Ovis aries: one gene and its partners. Each later gene encodes a partner of the first gene's protein in a complex. Links are inferred from orthologs where the notes say so. Each region holds a gene or a part of one and is shown in the gene's direction. Other genes may lie near its edges.

What was found. Proteins that work in one complex are often made in the same cells at the same time.
Region 2: ZNF541 (region 1) and SAP30 share a complex: the UniProt entries of both Homo sapiens proteins name them as parts of the histone deacetylase complex. The link is inferred for Ovis aries from reciprocal best matches to the Homo sapiens genes ZNF541 and SAP30.
Region 3: ZNF541 (region 1) and DNTTIP1 share a complex: the UniProt entries of both Homo sapiens proteins name them as parts of the histone deacetylase complex. The link is inferred for Ovis aries from reciprocal best matches to the Homo sapiens genes ZNF541 and DNTTIP1.

The regions. Positions count from the first base shown.
Region 1 is NC_056067.1:54,251,018-54,255,260, reverse strand, and holds the end of ZNF541 (zinc finger protein 541), read left to right. Parts: exon of another isoform or gene 1-30; coding exon 31-119; exon of another isoform or gene 120-1,608; coding exon 1,609-1,749; intron 1,750-1,953; coding exon 1,954-2,135; intron 2,136-2,252; coding exon 2,253-2,421; 3' UTR 2,422-2,933; downstream 2,934-4,243. UniProt on the Homo sapiens protein: Transcription regulator which is essential for male fertility and for the completion of meiotic prophase in spermatocytes.
Region 2 is NC_056055.1:107,372,257-107,377,567, reverse strand, and holds the start of SAP30 (histone deacetylase complex subunit SAP30), read left to right. Parts: upstream 1-1,824; 5' UTR 1,825-2,136; coding exon 2,137-2,451; intron 2,452-4,035; coding exon 4,036-4,161; intron 4,162-4,687; coding exon 4,688-4,786; intron 4,787-5,311. UniProt on the Homo sapiens protein: Involved in the functional recruitment of the Sin3-histone deacetylase complex (HDAC) to a specific subset of N-CoR corepressor complexes. Capable of transcription repression by N-CoR.
Region 3 is NC_056066.1:74,537,563-74,542,864, forward strand, and holds the start of DNTTIP1 (deoxynucleotidyltransferase terminal-interacting protein 1), read left to right. Parts: upstream 1-1,815; 5' UTR 1,816-1,873; coding exon 1,874-1,978; intron 1,979-2,550; coding exon 2,551-2,621; intron 2,622-3,638; coding exon 3,639-3,735; intron 3,736-5,302. Other genes in the region: WFDC3 (WAP four-disulfide core domain protein 3), read right to left, coding at 1,224-1,280. UniProt on the Homo sapiens protein: Increases DNTT terminal deoxynucleotidyltransferase activity (in vitro). Also acts as a transcriptional regulator, binding to the consensus sequence 5'-GNTGCATG-3' following an AT-tract.

The DNA.
Region 1 (4,243 bases):
AAGAAATGCCCCCCGGCTGTTTCTTACTAGGTTCAGACATCTGGACCCCCATGGAGAAGAGGCTCTTTAAGAAGGCATTCTGTGCCCACAAGAAGGACTTTAACTTGATACACAAGACGGTAAGCGCACGCGGCAGGCTGGCATAGAGGAGGTTCCCTCACCGAGCCAAGGGGCTAGAGCCGCAGGGCCTGTCGGGAGTGACTCTCCGCTCCTGCTGTGAACGACTGACAACTTTAAAAAGCCATCGCTGAGAACAGCCCCAAACAGTACAGAGAAGAAGCCTGTGTTCAAAACAAAGCCCTCCAGGCCCCAGCCCACTGTCCACTGACTGTAACCTGACAGGCATTTACTGTCCGTGCAGTTTACACACATATGTACACTTTCTCAAAAAATGATGAGAGTGTATATTTGATATCCTGCTGATTATCTTGCTTTTTTAAAAAACTGGTCCACAAAACTGCACATAATCGAAGTGTAAGATTCGATGTTTTGACGTACCTGTCCCCGGTGGCTCAGCAGGTAAAGAACCTGTCTGCCAGTGCAGGAGACACAGGAAAGGCAAGTTCGATTCCTGGGTCGGGAAAATCCCGTGGAGAAGGGAATGGCAGCCACTCCAGAATACTCACCTGAAAAATCCCATGGACAGAGAAGCCTGGCAGGCTACAGTCCATGGGGTCAAAAGCTCCCTCCTGCGCCTTTGTAACCTCTCCTTCCTGCCATCAACTCCTGTCTGCTTCCTGCCACTGTGAGTTAGTTTGCATTTTCTAGAGCTTTATAGAAATGGAGTAATCATGCAGCATGTGCTCTGCTTTGGCTCCTTCCAGTCTGCATGACAGTTTTGCGCTTCATCCACGCTGTCGTGTGCGCCAGTAATTCATCAGTTTGCTGAGGAGTATTCCATTGCGTGTCCCCTTCTCTTTTTCAAAACCTTCATTCCGGGCTGCACGGGGTCTTCCTTGTGTGGGGGTTTTCTCCAGGTGCAGTCTGGGCTTCTCAGAGGGGTTTCTCTCGTTGTAGAGCTAGGGCTGTAGGGTGCGAGGGCTTAGCTGCTCCCCAGCATGTGAAATCTTCCCAGACCAGGGATCAAACCTGTATCCCCTGCATTGGCAGGCAGATTCTTAACTACTGGATCACTAAGGAGGTCCCATCGTGTGTCCTCTTGTGGGCCTCTTCCCTCAGTACTTACTGTAGGGCCCCCCAGCTGTCGCAGAGGCCATGAGGTACCCACTGCATGAGGGTGCTCTGCTTTAATTAGTCCTGATACATAGACACACGGCTCCACATGGTGTCACAGCAAATGCATACCTCCGTGTGCATATCCCTGGAGGGAAGGGTTCCTGGGCCGGCCGTGTTGCTCAGAGTGTGCAGAGCTTAGCTGGTGTGGGCTCTGGTGGTTTCCTCTCTGAGCCCCTCACCCCTTGGAAGGAGTCTGTGATTCTCTGCCCCTTTAGCAAAGGGGCCCGCCAGGCCATAGCAGGAGAGAGTTCAGGAGGGCTTTCAAAAAGTGGCAGCTGGCCCCCGAGGGGGAGGGGCTCTAGGGCATTGAGGCCCCACTCACTACTGCTCCTGAGGCGCTGTCCACAGCCACCTTCTGTCTTCCCCGATCAGATCCAGACAAAGACCGTAGCCCAGTGTGTCGAGTATTACTACATCTGGAAAAAAATGATCAAGTTTGACTGCGGCCGAGCCCCAGGGCCAGAAAAGAGAGTCAGGAGGGAGCCAGATGAAGTAGACAGGGCGGAAGCCAAGGTAGGGGGTCTCGGGGAAGGGGGTCTGGAGTTCAGCCCGATCCGGAGGCCTGGTGCCTATCCATGCTGGGCAGGGGTGGGGGTACTCCCAGCAGGAGGGGCTTTCCATGGGCGATGTTCCCATGGGCTCTGGGTCTGTGCTGGTCCCTTAGCAGGGTGAGGGGGTGGCTCAGCACCCTTTTGTCATCTCTGCCCACCCCTGCAGGTCACTTGCAGTCCTCGGGAGAGACCCAGCCACCGTCCAACCCCCGAACTAAAGATAAAGACCAAGAGTTACAGGAGGGAGTCCATCCTCAACTCCAGCCCGAGCTCTGGCACCAAGCGGAGCCCCGAGGCACCTGGGAGCGTGGAGGGCCAGGGCGCCTTTCCCTGCCGGGAGTGTGAGAGGTACTGAGCTCCCTGGAGGCGCCTGCACCGCCTGCCCTCAGCCCCTCTCCATCCTCTCAGGGTCCCCCCGCCCGCCTCCCCCTGCTCTGATCCCCATGTTCTCTGGTGCCTCTGCAGGGTGTTCGATAAGATCAAGAGTCGAAATGCCCACATGAAGCGGCACCGGCTGCAGGACCACGTGGAGCCCATCGTCAGGGTCAAGTGGCCGGTGAAGCCCTTCCAGCTGAAGGAGGAAGAGGAGGAGGAGGAGGAGCTGGGGGCTGACATCGGGCCCCTGCAGTGGTGATTCAGGGCGGGGTGGCAGCGGGGACAAAGCAGCAAGTCTCCCCGAGGTGCCCCTCTGCCTCCCCAACCCGTCCCTGTTGCCAGGGGCCAGCCCAGCTTGCAGACATGGCGGGCACTGGGTCACGAGCCGGGGACACACGGTCATCTGAACACCGTGAAGGCCCTGACGCTGTATCGGAGGCTCCATTCTCTTAGGTTCATAGTCTCTCCCCTTCTGTCAGTTCGCCTCTTCCTGGAGCAGTGAGGCTTGGGGAGGGAACAGGTTAGGTCTGGGTAACTCTTCAGTCTTAGCCTCCATTTCAGGCTTTGGTTACGTTTATTCAGTAGGCCAAGATGTAGAGAATCAGTGGGAATTACCATCAGATCTCCACCGCACCAAGGCCCCTCGCGGAGGGTCTCTCTGCATTCTAGATTCTGCCCCTAGTCTTGACGTGACTTGTACATTGTTAGGTTTGGTTTTTCTTTTTTTGTACGTGTCGACTTGTAAGTCTTATTAAATTGGGTTCTTAAGCAGCTCTCTTCTGGCTTCCTCGCCTATTGATCCTGTGAAGGCTTGAGTCCCTGCCCCTCCAGGAACCACAGGGATGAGTAAGCTGAGTCCCTGCCAGCATTTATTAAGCACCTGCTGTTGTTAGGCCAGACAGTGCCCAGGCCATACAGTGGGGACATGATGACACGGAGGGACAGGGCCCCTCTCCTCACAGAGCTCACAGTTTAGGAGCGGAAGGTAGCAGTGATAAGTCAGCAAAGAGGCCAGTTTAGATATCGATCGCGGATGTGGCTTTGGCCATAGTAACAGAGTCGGCCTAGGTTTAAGCTCTCAGGACATGTGGTAGTGGTGTGAGCAGCTCTCTTGTGAAGTTCAAGCCTGCCAGCGGTGACCAGCGTTGGCAAGAGCAAGGACCCCCTCCTCCTCCACCAGCACCCCAACCTTCAGAGGACACAGGGCAGACAGCACGTCCCTCCCTGCCTTGCTTCCCTTCTTTAGAGGGAGGAAAGCTTGTGGTGGGGCTTCCCAGGGACATTAGGACATTCTCAGGTGGCGCTAGTGGTAAAGAACCCACCTGCCAGTGCAGAAGACGCAGGAGAGGCGACTTTGATCCTTGAGTTGGGAAGATCCCTGGAGAAGGAAATGGCAACCCATTCCAGTATTCTTACCTGGAAAATCCCATGGACAGAGGAGCCTGGCGGGTCCATGGGGTACAGTCCATGGGGTCACAAAGAGTCAGACATGACTGAAAACACACACACACACAGAAACCCCTTGTAGCAGCGCCTAGCAGAACTCGCCTCATACCCCCTTGGCCAGGACTGTAGCCCATGTTCTTTCTAAACTGATCCCTGGCGGCAGGAAAGGAAATGGCCAGTTATCCTGGACACGGGATCTGTCTCCAGGCCTGCAGAAAAAACAGTTTGCCTCAAGTTCGTTGTCACCCAATCAAAACTGGAATCCTGTTTGCCAAGAAAAGAAGAGGAAGCAGGAATGGCTCCTGTGGAGTCAGACCTTGTGTCCACCCCAGAGTGACACAAAGAAAGGGGCCAAGTCCGAGGGAGTGGCAGGGTGTGGCGGGCGCTGGTGAGTGGATGGGGAGGTGGGGTGCGCAGAGGACACCACGGAGGCTGAGACCTGGCTTCTGGGCCAGAGCGTGAAGCACAGACTGCCCCAGGAAGCGGGGGAGGTGGTTCAGAGCTCCAGCTGCCATGTGGAGGTTGTGGTGGGCAAGTCGGGAAGCCAGAAGGCTCTCGGGTGAGATGATGGCCTGGGCTGGGGTAGCAGTGAAGAGAGCCAGGAACACAGGCATTAAGGATCGGGTTAGAAGCAG
Region 2 (5,311 bases), on another chromosome or scaffold:
AGTTTAAAATTTTTTAATGAATTAAAATGAACAATTCAGTTTTTCATTCACAGTTAACCACATTTAAAGTGCTCGATATCCACATAAGGCAAGCAGACACCCTATTGGACGGTGCAGCTTGAAAAGAAAACACAACACTTACCATTCAGGATTTTTTGCCCACTACATTTATTTAAAATGTTTTTCTTCCTTTGCTGTTTCTTAGAGGGCAACCCACTCCGGTGTTCTTGCCTGGAGAATCCCAGGGACAGGGGAGCCTGGTGGGCTCCCGTCCCTGGGGTCGCACAGAGTTCGACATGACTGAAGCGACTTAGCAGCAGCAGTAGCAGCAGCAGAGCGGAAGTGCACAGATGGACAGGATGGCTGTGAATTTCAGGGTAGATGACAGTTTACATTTTAAAAAACTCATTTATCACTCAGTTTACTCTGCAAATATAAAAGAGCTTTCAAAAAAAAACCCTACTGCTTTCTATTTTTGTTTAAACAATGGGATTGAACAGGATATACGTACGATAAATGACGCGCTACCATTAGCAAAGGTGTAGCTTTCGTACCAGCCACTCCCAACCTTCCACACCGCCCTCCACACGCCCGCGCACACAGACACGTACACAGACACGCGTGCGCGCGCTCACGGATCCGGAGCACCCCTTTCCCGGCGATCTCGGCCGAGCGCGCGCCTTCGGTCTCTGGGAGCTCGTGGCTGACCGGAACTCAGAGGGGTTCTGCTTTTTATTTTTCACGTGTGATTAGACAGGTTCCCGGTTCCTTCGAGGACAAAGTGGAGGTGCCCGGGCTGGAGGCGGAAAGCAGCCCCTTTAAGTCCACTCATCCGGAGCTCCACCTCAGGAGGCGGTAGACAAGAGTCCGCCCCGCAAGCCAGCGCGATCCTCGCACGGACAATGCTCGGATCTGGAGAGCCTCCAGTCCTCCTGCCGAAGGGGAGGTTCGGACGCACGTCACCCCTCCCTGCCCACCGCCCCCGCAGGCGTCCTGATGGACCATCTCGGGCGTCAGTCTGCAGAGCTGCTACCCAGACCCCATGGGGTTAGACATGGGGCCTCTGGGACCCCAAAACTGCCAGAGCCCCGTTCTTCTTGGTTTGGGTTTCCCACAAAAACGTTGTTTAGTTGCTAAGTCGTGTCTGACTCTTGCAACTCCATGGACTGTAGCCTGCCAGGCTCCTCTGTCCACGGGCTTCTCTAAGCAACAATACTGGAGTGGGTTGCCATTTCCTTCTCCAGGGGATCTTCCCCACCCAGGGGTCGAACCCATGTCTCCTGCATTTGGCAGGCGGATTCTTTACCACTGAGCCACGTGGGAAGCCCCACAAAAGACGTCTTTACATCAAAAATTTTTTCACAGATACAAAAAAGGCCCGAAACTTTTTTCCCCCACACCTTCCCTCCCCTCGTATCCCCTCCGTTCCCACCCTCGCACCCCCTCCCCTCCTACCCCCGCCTCCCGCCTTTTGTGCTTCGCTTCAGGAGTTAAGTGACCTCTTCGTCTAAAGTGCCAGCTCTGCAAAATCCAGGAGCTAAACACAGCTCAACTTCCCGGGAGCTACCAGAGCCAGAAAACATCACAAGCCCCCCGCCCCGCCCCCCACCACACGCCCCTGTTTTCTCAATGTATTACCGAAAAAAAAAAAAAATCCAGATCCGCCTCCGCGCGATGAATGCTGGGATAAGAAGTTCTCCTAAACCATGAAGCTCGATGTCAGACTGGAGCTTAGGTTGGCTCCCCAAAAGAGAACTACAATTCCCGTGGTGCCCTGCGGGCAGAGTGGAAGGGGCGGGACGGGCGAGGGCGCAATGTGCTTGCGCAGATCGAGGGCCGAAGGGAGGCGGGGGTATCGAGGTCCGACTGCTGAGGAGTCTCCATGTGACAGTGAGCAGCGTCCCAGCTCCAGGCGACGCCAGATTCCAGTTCCCGATCCCACGCCCCGTCCACTGATCCTGTGCCTGCAGACAGCAGCAGGCCGGGGCCTCGTGGTCTTGGCCGGAGGACCCTGGCTCAGAGTTAATAGTCTCCGCTAAGCAGGTGCGAGGGACCGCCGAGACCCCGGCATCTCCAGAGAGGCAGGCGGCGCGGAGAGCGAGGCTTCTGTCAGCGCGGCTCTGCGAGTGCGGGAACATGAACGGCTTCACTCCCGAGGACATGAGCCGCGGCGGGGACGCGGCCGCCGCTGTGGCCGCCGTGGCCGCCGCTTCTGCCGCCGCCGCGTCAGCCGGGAACGGGGCTGGGGCTGGCGCCGGGGCCGAGGTGCCGGGTGCAGGGGCGGTCTCGGCGGCGGGGCCGCCGGGAGCGGCAGGGCCGGGCCCCGGGCAGCTGTGCTGTCTGCGCGAGGACGGCGAGCGGTGCGGCCGGGCGGCGGGCAACGCCAGCTTCAGCAAGAGGATCCAGAAGAGCATCTCCCAGAAGAAGGTGAAGATCGAGTTGGATAAGAGCGTAAGTGACGGCGGTACGAATCTGCTCTGCCCGCCCCCCGGGGCGCTCGGGGAGAAGGGCAGACGCGTGCCGGTGGGGGTGCGGGAGCCCCAGACCTGGGTGCCTCGCGAGCCCGTTCCGGGGTCCCTAGTAGGAAGCAAACAACAAGGTGCTGCAACTCGGCCCGCCGTCCGCAGTAGACACTCTCGCGCCTCCCGGACCCGCTCCCGCGGCCCCTCCCGCGCAGGGCCTCCACTCCTGCTCTGAGGGGGTCAGTGGTGAAACAAAGGGGGCGGCAGCGCCGAGAACCCAGAGTAGCTGTCCTGCAACCCACGGCTCCTTCTGGAACCGAGGCACCTTCTTTGTTTTGCTGCCCGAGCGGGTAGCTTCCCCGGTCCAGGAATGGAGTGCAGCCAGGACCGGACGCTGCGGGCGACTAGGACCCTGTCCCGGGTCCCGCGGGTGCGGGGTGGGGGGCCCCCGGCTGCGAGCCGCGCGGCCGTGTCATCATCTAGGGGAACTGCTCGAGACGTGGGGAGCGGGCAGCCGCTGCGGGTTAGCCCTCGGTTTGGCAGCCATCAGGGTTTCTTTCTTCGTCCTTTCGCAGGTCTGTTCCTCTGACCATCTAGGAGGTTTTTAGAAACGACCGTTTCCACTTTTCCGAGCCCTGGGGAGCGGTAATAAATCACAAGATGTGAGAACCAGCACACGTCCTGCATCTTCTTAACTTGCACTTTAGCTCAAAGTTTAATTTGAAAACCTGTTAGCTCATTCCTCAATTTTTTTTTAAGAAGTAACTGCTGATGTATAAAACCCAGTATTTCAGAGGCTACCGTACAGCTCTCAGAACTATATAATTAACGTTTTTGGGAACTTTATTTGGGATACTTTCTGCCTATTCAGTTAGTTCCTCAGTTCTGTTTCCAGTAGTTGAAACTTTCCAGGTATACTTGAATCATTTCACATTGCTTTGGTTGGAAAAACTTATTATAAATAAATGCTTTTATTTAATACTCAGGAAAGTTCATAATTCAAATTTAAACTTAGTAAGGATGTGAAATCAATTTATTTGTCAAAAGTGGATGGTTTTGTGTCTGGATTATAATTTGAGTATTAAGTTAGATTAGGAAGCATTCACTATGGTATTAATATTATTAAATGCTCTTTTAAGTAAAGAAAATACTATCAAATAGCAAAATTGTGGCCAGCATCTTTTTGCCCTTGTTTAAAAAAGCGGCATAGCTGAACTAATCTAGTTCACCATCGCTGCAATTTGATGACAGAATCCAGAGCATAGGAATTTCTCATTCTCTGCTTCTCTCCCTTCCCTTACTGGCACTTCTCCCCACCCCACCCCCAGGCCTCTTTAACAATATTGCTAGACATGATATGTTTTAACTGGGTTCAGGACTTAAGAGTAGCAAGAAACATGCCTTGTTTTAACTGGGTTCAGGACTTAAGAGTAGCAAGAAACATGCGTTGTCTTAACAATGGCCTGTTACTAATGTTTATATTTTTAATAATTCACCGTAACTATGTATTTTACTAATACATAGACACATTTTCCTGTAATCTTAAGTTGTCTGTGAAACTTTTCTGTTCCAGGCAAGACATCTTTACATTTGTGATTATCATAAAAACTTAATTCAGAGCGTGCGAAACAGAAGAAAGAGAAAAGGGAGTGATGATGATGGAGGAGATTCACCTGTCCAAGATATTGATACTCCGGAGGTAGGTGAAAGGTTTGTAAGTTAAATGTAAAACTTCTGAAAGTTTTATTTAAAAAATATGAACAAATTCTAAAAATACTTGAAGCATTTGAAAACTCTAAAAATGAAAGCAAAATTAAATATAGCCAGTTAACATGCAGTTATGCAGTTTGACTTGTTATGGCTTCAATTGACCACTTTTTTTTTAATTTTAAAAACAATTCACTTATTTTTTAATTGAAGGATAATTATTTTACAGAATTTTGTTGTTTCCTGTCAAACGTCAACATGAATCAGCCATAGGTGTACATATGTCCCCTCCCTCTTGAACCTCCCTACTCAATTGACAACTCTTATAGTCCCCAGTCGTTAATAAGCATCCTCAAAAGATTGAACTGTTTAATGCATTTTTAGTTTTGATTATTTAAAAGCCTTTTAAAATAATGGAATTAAATTTTCACTGTGTTGAAGTTGAAATGTTTTTTAGAGCAAATATTAGTCATTAGCAAATGATATGAACTAATTCATATACGTTAATTTTTTTCTAGGTTGATTTATACCAACTACAGGTGAATACGCTTAGGAGATACAAAAGACACTTCAAACTCCCAACCAGACCCGGGCTTAATAAAGCACAGCTTGTTGAGGTATATATAAGTTTTAAACTATTTAACCTTTAATGCAAAAAAAGTCATTAAATACTAATGATGTTAATTTAGTATATATAACAATACATTTTAGTTAGAAAAATCAAAGTTAATAAAATCTAATGTGGAAGAATCTAGTTGCCTAGAAATGTTTGTCTATCACTTAGGAAATTCCTTTATATAATGATTACTCATTAGATTATATGCAGTTTTCTAAGCATCTTCTAATACTGACTTTCAAAAATAGTAAGTAAAAGTTTTTTTGTATTCTCTCTCTAGAAACCTGTTTCTTTTAAAATTTTATTTTACTCAGTAAACACTTATTGAGCACCTAATTGAGGCATAATAATAAATTAATAAGCTTTGATGTCTTTGTTAGAATTTTCTTGGTTTTTGTTGGAATAGATTTTACAGATAAACCTCTAAACAGTATTCCTGTAACTTGCTGATTTAACTATTTCAGAATTTGTTCTTGTTGGTGTTAGTTTGTTTATGTGAAGCATCCCTGTTTTTATGACTAAAAAA
Region 3 (5,302 bases), on another chromosome or scaffold:
CTAAAGACACCACTAAAGAAAAGAACCAACGCTAATAAAATGCACTGTGGCTCCTGTCCATCATCGCAACCTAGAAAACAGAGACTAGAACCAACTGCGTACAAACTATTCAAAAACTATAGAAAAGTAGTGTTTGAATTTCTTCAGAACTAACATAAATGCACCAAAAACCTACATCTTGGTCACTCTGGCCCATATAGGACATTTTTGGACTATAGGAAGGCTAGTTGACAAAACTCAAAAGAACAGTTGCTGACTCAAGGAATAACCTAGGTCATATAGACTCCCTTTCTTTATCTCTTCTTCCTATATTTCTTTTTATTTTTCTTTATCTGTCCCTTTGATTAACCATGATACTTAATAGTGTCCACTGGCTCTGCTTAGTCTAACAAGGTTAAAGGGCAGGGGACATTCAAGGCACAAGATAAAAAACCTAAATAGGGTCTAGGAGTTTGTTGCCAGAAAGTCACCTTATTATTTTAAGGCTGATAAATGAACATTTGTTGATCTAATATGTGCTTGACATATTTTATTTCTCACAACTAACTTGCAAAAGTAAGAAAACTTATTCTTTTTTTAGAGGGAAAACTGCCCAAGGTCATTAAGCTAGTAAGTGGTGGCTTTTGGAATTTAATAACAGGAATGTCAGATAGCATTGTTTGAAGGTTTATTACTGCCAAGGGTCTAAGTACTTTACATAAGTTAGCTCACTTAATTCTCACTACAACCCTATGAGTTAAATACTATTATCCCCATTCTACAGATGGGGAAACTGCATCGCAGAAAGAAATGTAGGCCGCAGCTAATAAGTGGTAGAACAAAGGTGCGTGTGTGCATGCTCAGTTTCTTCGGTCATGTCTGACTTTTTGCAGCGTCTGAGTCTTTGTAACTCTATGGACTGTAGCCCACCAGGCTCCTCTGTCCATGGGATTCCCCGGGCAAGAATACCAGGAGTGGGTTGCCATTCCAGGGAATCTTCTGACCCAGGGATGGAACAGACGTCTCCTGCATCTCCTGTGTTCCAGGAGGATTCTTTGACCACTGAGCCACTTGGGAAGCCCAGAACAAAGGTAAGCAGTCCAATTCCATAGCCAGTGTTCTTTATCATCTTATCATAATGAATTTGAACTCAGATCTTTCTAACTGCAAAACTCATGCACCTTCTACTACCCCATATTATGACCTGGTAAAAGTAGGTCCAATTCTATTCATGGATGTCTTACCTCTAATGCAGAGCAAAAGGGGATCTGGGGAACTCCACAGCTGTGAAACCCCTGCATCCTCAACCTATCCCAGAATCAACCATCTGGGGAGAGAAGCCCAGGATCTTCATTAGATGCCTTCCGACGCCAAGAGGCAACCCCTGGGGTAAAGGCCTGGAGGGACCCCTGAGTGAGTGTTTAGGATGCCATGGGCCAGACGCCCCCACCTCTTGTTGGGTTTGGGGGTCCTCGCATGAGGCCCATCCAATTCTGGGAGCATATTAAAATCTAGTTTTCCAAAGACAACCGCAGACGCCCCCGTACCAAACGCCCCCCTCCTCTCCCCAGCTCCAGCCCATGGAAACCTGCTCCCTTCCTCCCGCCCCGCACTTCTCCACGGGCCTTGGCCCGGCCAGAGAACGACCCTTGACTGAACACCCCCAGTCACACCCGAAGCGAGGCCGCCCCCGAGAGGCAGAAAGGCCACCCGACACGCAACGCCTCTAAGCAGCTGCAACCGGACGAGAACCAGCGGCGCGGTTTCCCTGGCAACCCCACCGCTCGCCGCGTCGCGCTTCCGGAGCCTGAGGGCGGCGCGCTCCAATGACGTCACGGGGCCACTTTCCGGCCGGTGGCAGAGTCGGGCTGAAGTTGTGGGGGCCCGTGGCGCCATGGGGGCCACTGGCGACGTTGAGCAGCCGCGGGGACCCGGCGGGGCAGAGCGGGGTGGCCCCGAGCTGGGAGACGCGGGCGCAGCGGGGCAGCTGGTTCTCACGGTGAGGGCGCCCCCGGGGAGGCCCAGGCGGGGCCTGGGCTCGGGCCGGGCAGGGCCTCGGGCTCCCGGGACCCTGGCCCGCGGGGGAGAGAACGCGGCGGCTGATCTACCGAGGGGGTTGGCATTGTCACAGTCCGACGACCTGGCTTCAAATTCTGGTGCCGCCCTCCTAGCTAGGTGACGTGGGCCAGCCCTGTCAAGCCTCTCAGCCCCAGTTTTATCTTCGGGAAGATGGAGATGTCTAGCCCCTGCCTCTTAAAGTTGTCAGGGGGAGGGATAATAAATGCGGGTAAAGCGCCCAGCGCATCATCTGGCAGAGTAGACCCTCGGTAAACACTGGTCCCCTTCCTCCACCCTTTTATGAAAAGTAGGGTTGGGACTTTGGAGGCAGGAAACTTTGCTCTGTTCCTCTTCCCCTGCCGGGCCTTCCCCTGCACCGCCCTAGCCCAAGGTGGCAGAGACGGTGAAAGCACCCGAGAAGCAGGAATGTCTGAGGTGTAACTTAATGCCCACGCTCCACCTCCACGCCAGTGTCACGGACCTCGGTGACATCTGCTCCCTTGGTCCCCACAGAACCCTTGGAACATAATGATCAAGCACCGGCAAGTGCAGCGGAGGGGCCGCCGCTCACAGATGACCACAAGGTAAGGCTAGCCCTGGACGGGATGTCTCTCCAGGGCCCTGGCGTGGAAGGCAGCTTTGCGGTCCCCACTGCACAGGGCTAAGAAAGAGTTCATCAGCCAGTAGAAGGAGGAGATTCAGATTCAGTAACTCTCTGTGTGACCTTGAGCAAGTCATTTCCCCCAAACTCAAAACGAGGGAGAGGTGTGTTGATTAGACAATGCCCAAGATCCCTAACGTTCAATGGCTCTTGTATTTAAAGCTGCCAAAGAGGCAGAATAGCATGAAGATTATGAGAAACGTAAGCCTGATAGTCTCCATCTCAGGGAAGGGAGGGAGCGCAAGATGGGTCTTTGGGATGCTGGTTGTATATGTTTGTTGACCTGTATGTGTGTATGTATGCTAATTCGCTTCAACGGTGTCCAGGTCTTTGCAACCCTATGGACTGTAGCCCACCATGGGATTCTCCAGCCGAGAATACTGGAGTGGGGAGCCATGCCCTCCTCCAGGGGAATCTTCAGACCCAGGGATCGAACCCTCATCTCCTGCATCTCAGGCGCATTCTTTACATGTAGCACTACCTGGGAAGTCTTGACCTAAGTAGTGATTAAATGGATGTTCACTAAAACTTACAGTATATTAAGTATTATTCTGCTAAAACACTTTAAAAATAGTGCCCATTTCATAGAGTTATGAGTATGAAATGAAGTCCCACATCTATGTGGTTTGCACAGAACTTGGACTCATAGCTAGTTTTCAGTAAAAGTCATCTTTTTGTTTATTCGGGGGTGGTTTGTTTTTTTCTTTTTCTAGCCGCGCTACATGGCATGCAGGATCTTAGTTCCCTGACCAAGGATCAAACCAGTGCTTCCTATAGTGGAAGCATAGCGTTTTAACCACTGGACTGCCAGGGAAGTCCCAAAGCCATCTGTTATTGTTGTTGAAGGATCTTATGTCAGTAATTGGCTGGGCAGATTGGGAAAAGAAATGTTTGGAACATGCCTCCTGACTGTGGCTTCTTCCCCTCCCTCCCTCTGCAGTTTCACAGATCCTGCCATCTCCATGGACCTCCTCCGAGCTGTCCTGCAGCCCAGCATCAACGAGGAGATCCAGACAGTCTTCAACAAGTACATGAAGGTGAGAAGGATGCAGAGACAAAGAAAAAAAAATAGGAGTTAAGACTCATCGGTGATCCTTCCCTGCATCACAGTCTCCCTAGCTCTTTCTAGTACCTACACATGCCTAAAGTTTTCCAATTTGGAATCCCCACTCCAAGAATGTTTTTTCTCTTTGGGGGGTAATTGAATACCTCTTATTGTTACCAAAGCAGGTTTGGGTCTCCTCACCCATGTGTATGCTAAGTTGCTTCAGTCATGTCCAACTCTTTGTGACCCTATGGACTGTAGCCCGCCAGGCTCCTCTGTCCATGGGATTCTTCAGGCAAGAATACTGGACTGGGTTGCCACGTCCTTCTCCAGGGGATCTCCCTAACCCAGGGATCAAATCTGCATCTCTTAAGTCTCCTGCATTGGCAAGTGGGTTCTTTACCTGCAGCGCCACCTGGGAAGCCCAAGCAAGTTTGGGTCTGCTCACCCACACGCAGTAAAACCAATCTACTGACACCAGGTAGTGGTGAAGGAAAGTGCAACATTTACTGCTGGACAGCACCAAGCAAGGAGGCTGGGCACTAGTTTGTTTCTGTTATTGTTATTTAGTCACTAAGTCATGTCCGACTCTGCAACCCCATGGACTGTAGCCCACCAGGCGCCTCTGTCCATGGAATTTCCCAAGCAAGACCACTGGAGTGGGTTGCTGTTTCCTTCTCCATGGGATCTTCAAACCCTCATCTCCTGCATTGGCAGGTGGGTTCCTTACCACTGAGCCATCAGGGAAGCCCTCCGGGGACTAGACTAGGGCTTGAAACACCCAGACTCCCCAGTGGGTTTCAGCAAAGCATTTTAAAGACAACGTGAGGGAGGGGCATCCCAGGGTATGTGATCAGCTTGTGCACAATTCTCTGATTGGCTGATGGTGAGGTGGCCGTGTAGTATCACAGGGAGTAACATTATTAACCCTTAGGCTCTGCTCATGTTCATCACGTAGTTCATTTCTTCCACTTCATGGTGGCTTTAACATCTATTAGACAACTCAGGAAATGTGCATCAGATGCTGTTATTGAGGAGCCTTAAAGCAGAGGATATGGGAGAGGAGCCTGCTCCCTGTCCTCCAAGGCCCCATAGGGTCAGCTCCATTAGTTTTGCCAAGCTGTTGTGAGGATGAAATGACTTAAGTGTAATGTGCTCAGCCTGTGCTTGGAATGCAAGTATTTTTATTACTTGTTTAATAGATAACCATTGTTGCTGTTTAAAATTTATTTCAATATCTATTAATAATCTTCTACACGGCTCTACCTGAATTTCCCACAGATGCTTCAGTCCCAGCATATTAAGGACTGAACTCTTGTGTTTCTCTTCCTAAATCTTCTCATGTATTTATTCTTTCATCCGAGAAGTATTTTCTAAGCCCTTACCATAATGCAGGCACTGTTCTAGGCACTTAAGGGTGTAACAGGGAACAAAATGGGCAGCGTCCTTGCCCTCTTTAAACAAATGTGTCCTTTGTCAGCAAATGCCAGAGAGAAGGAGAAAACAGTGACCTATAGGGAACAGAGGTGCTCTTTCATAGGTTGTGTCTAGGCAAGACA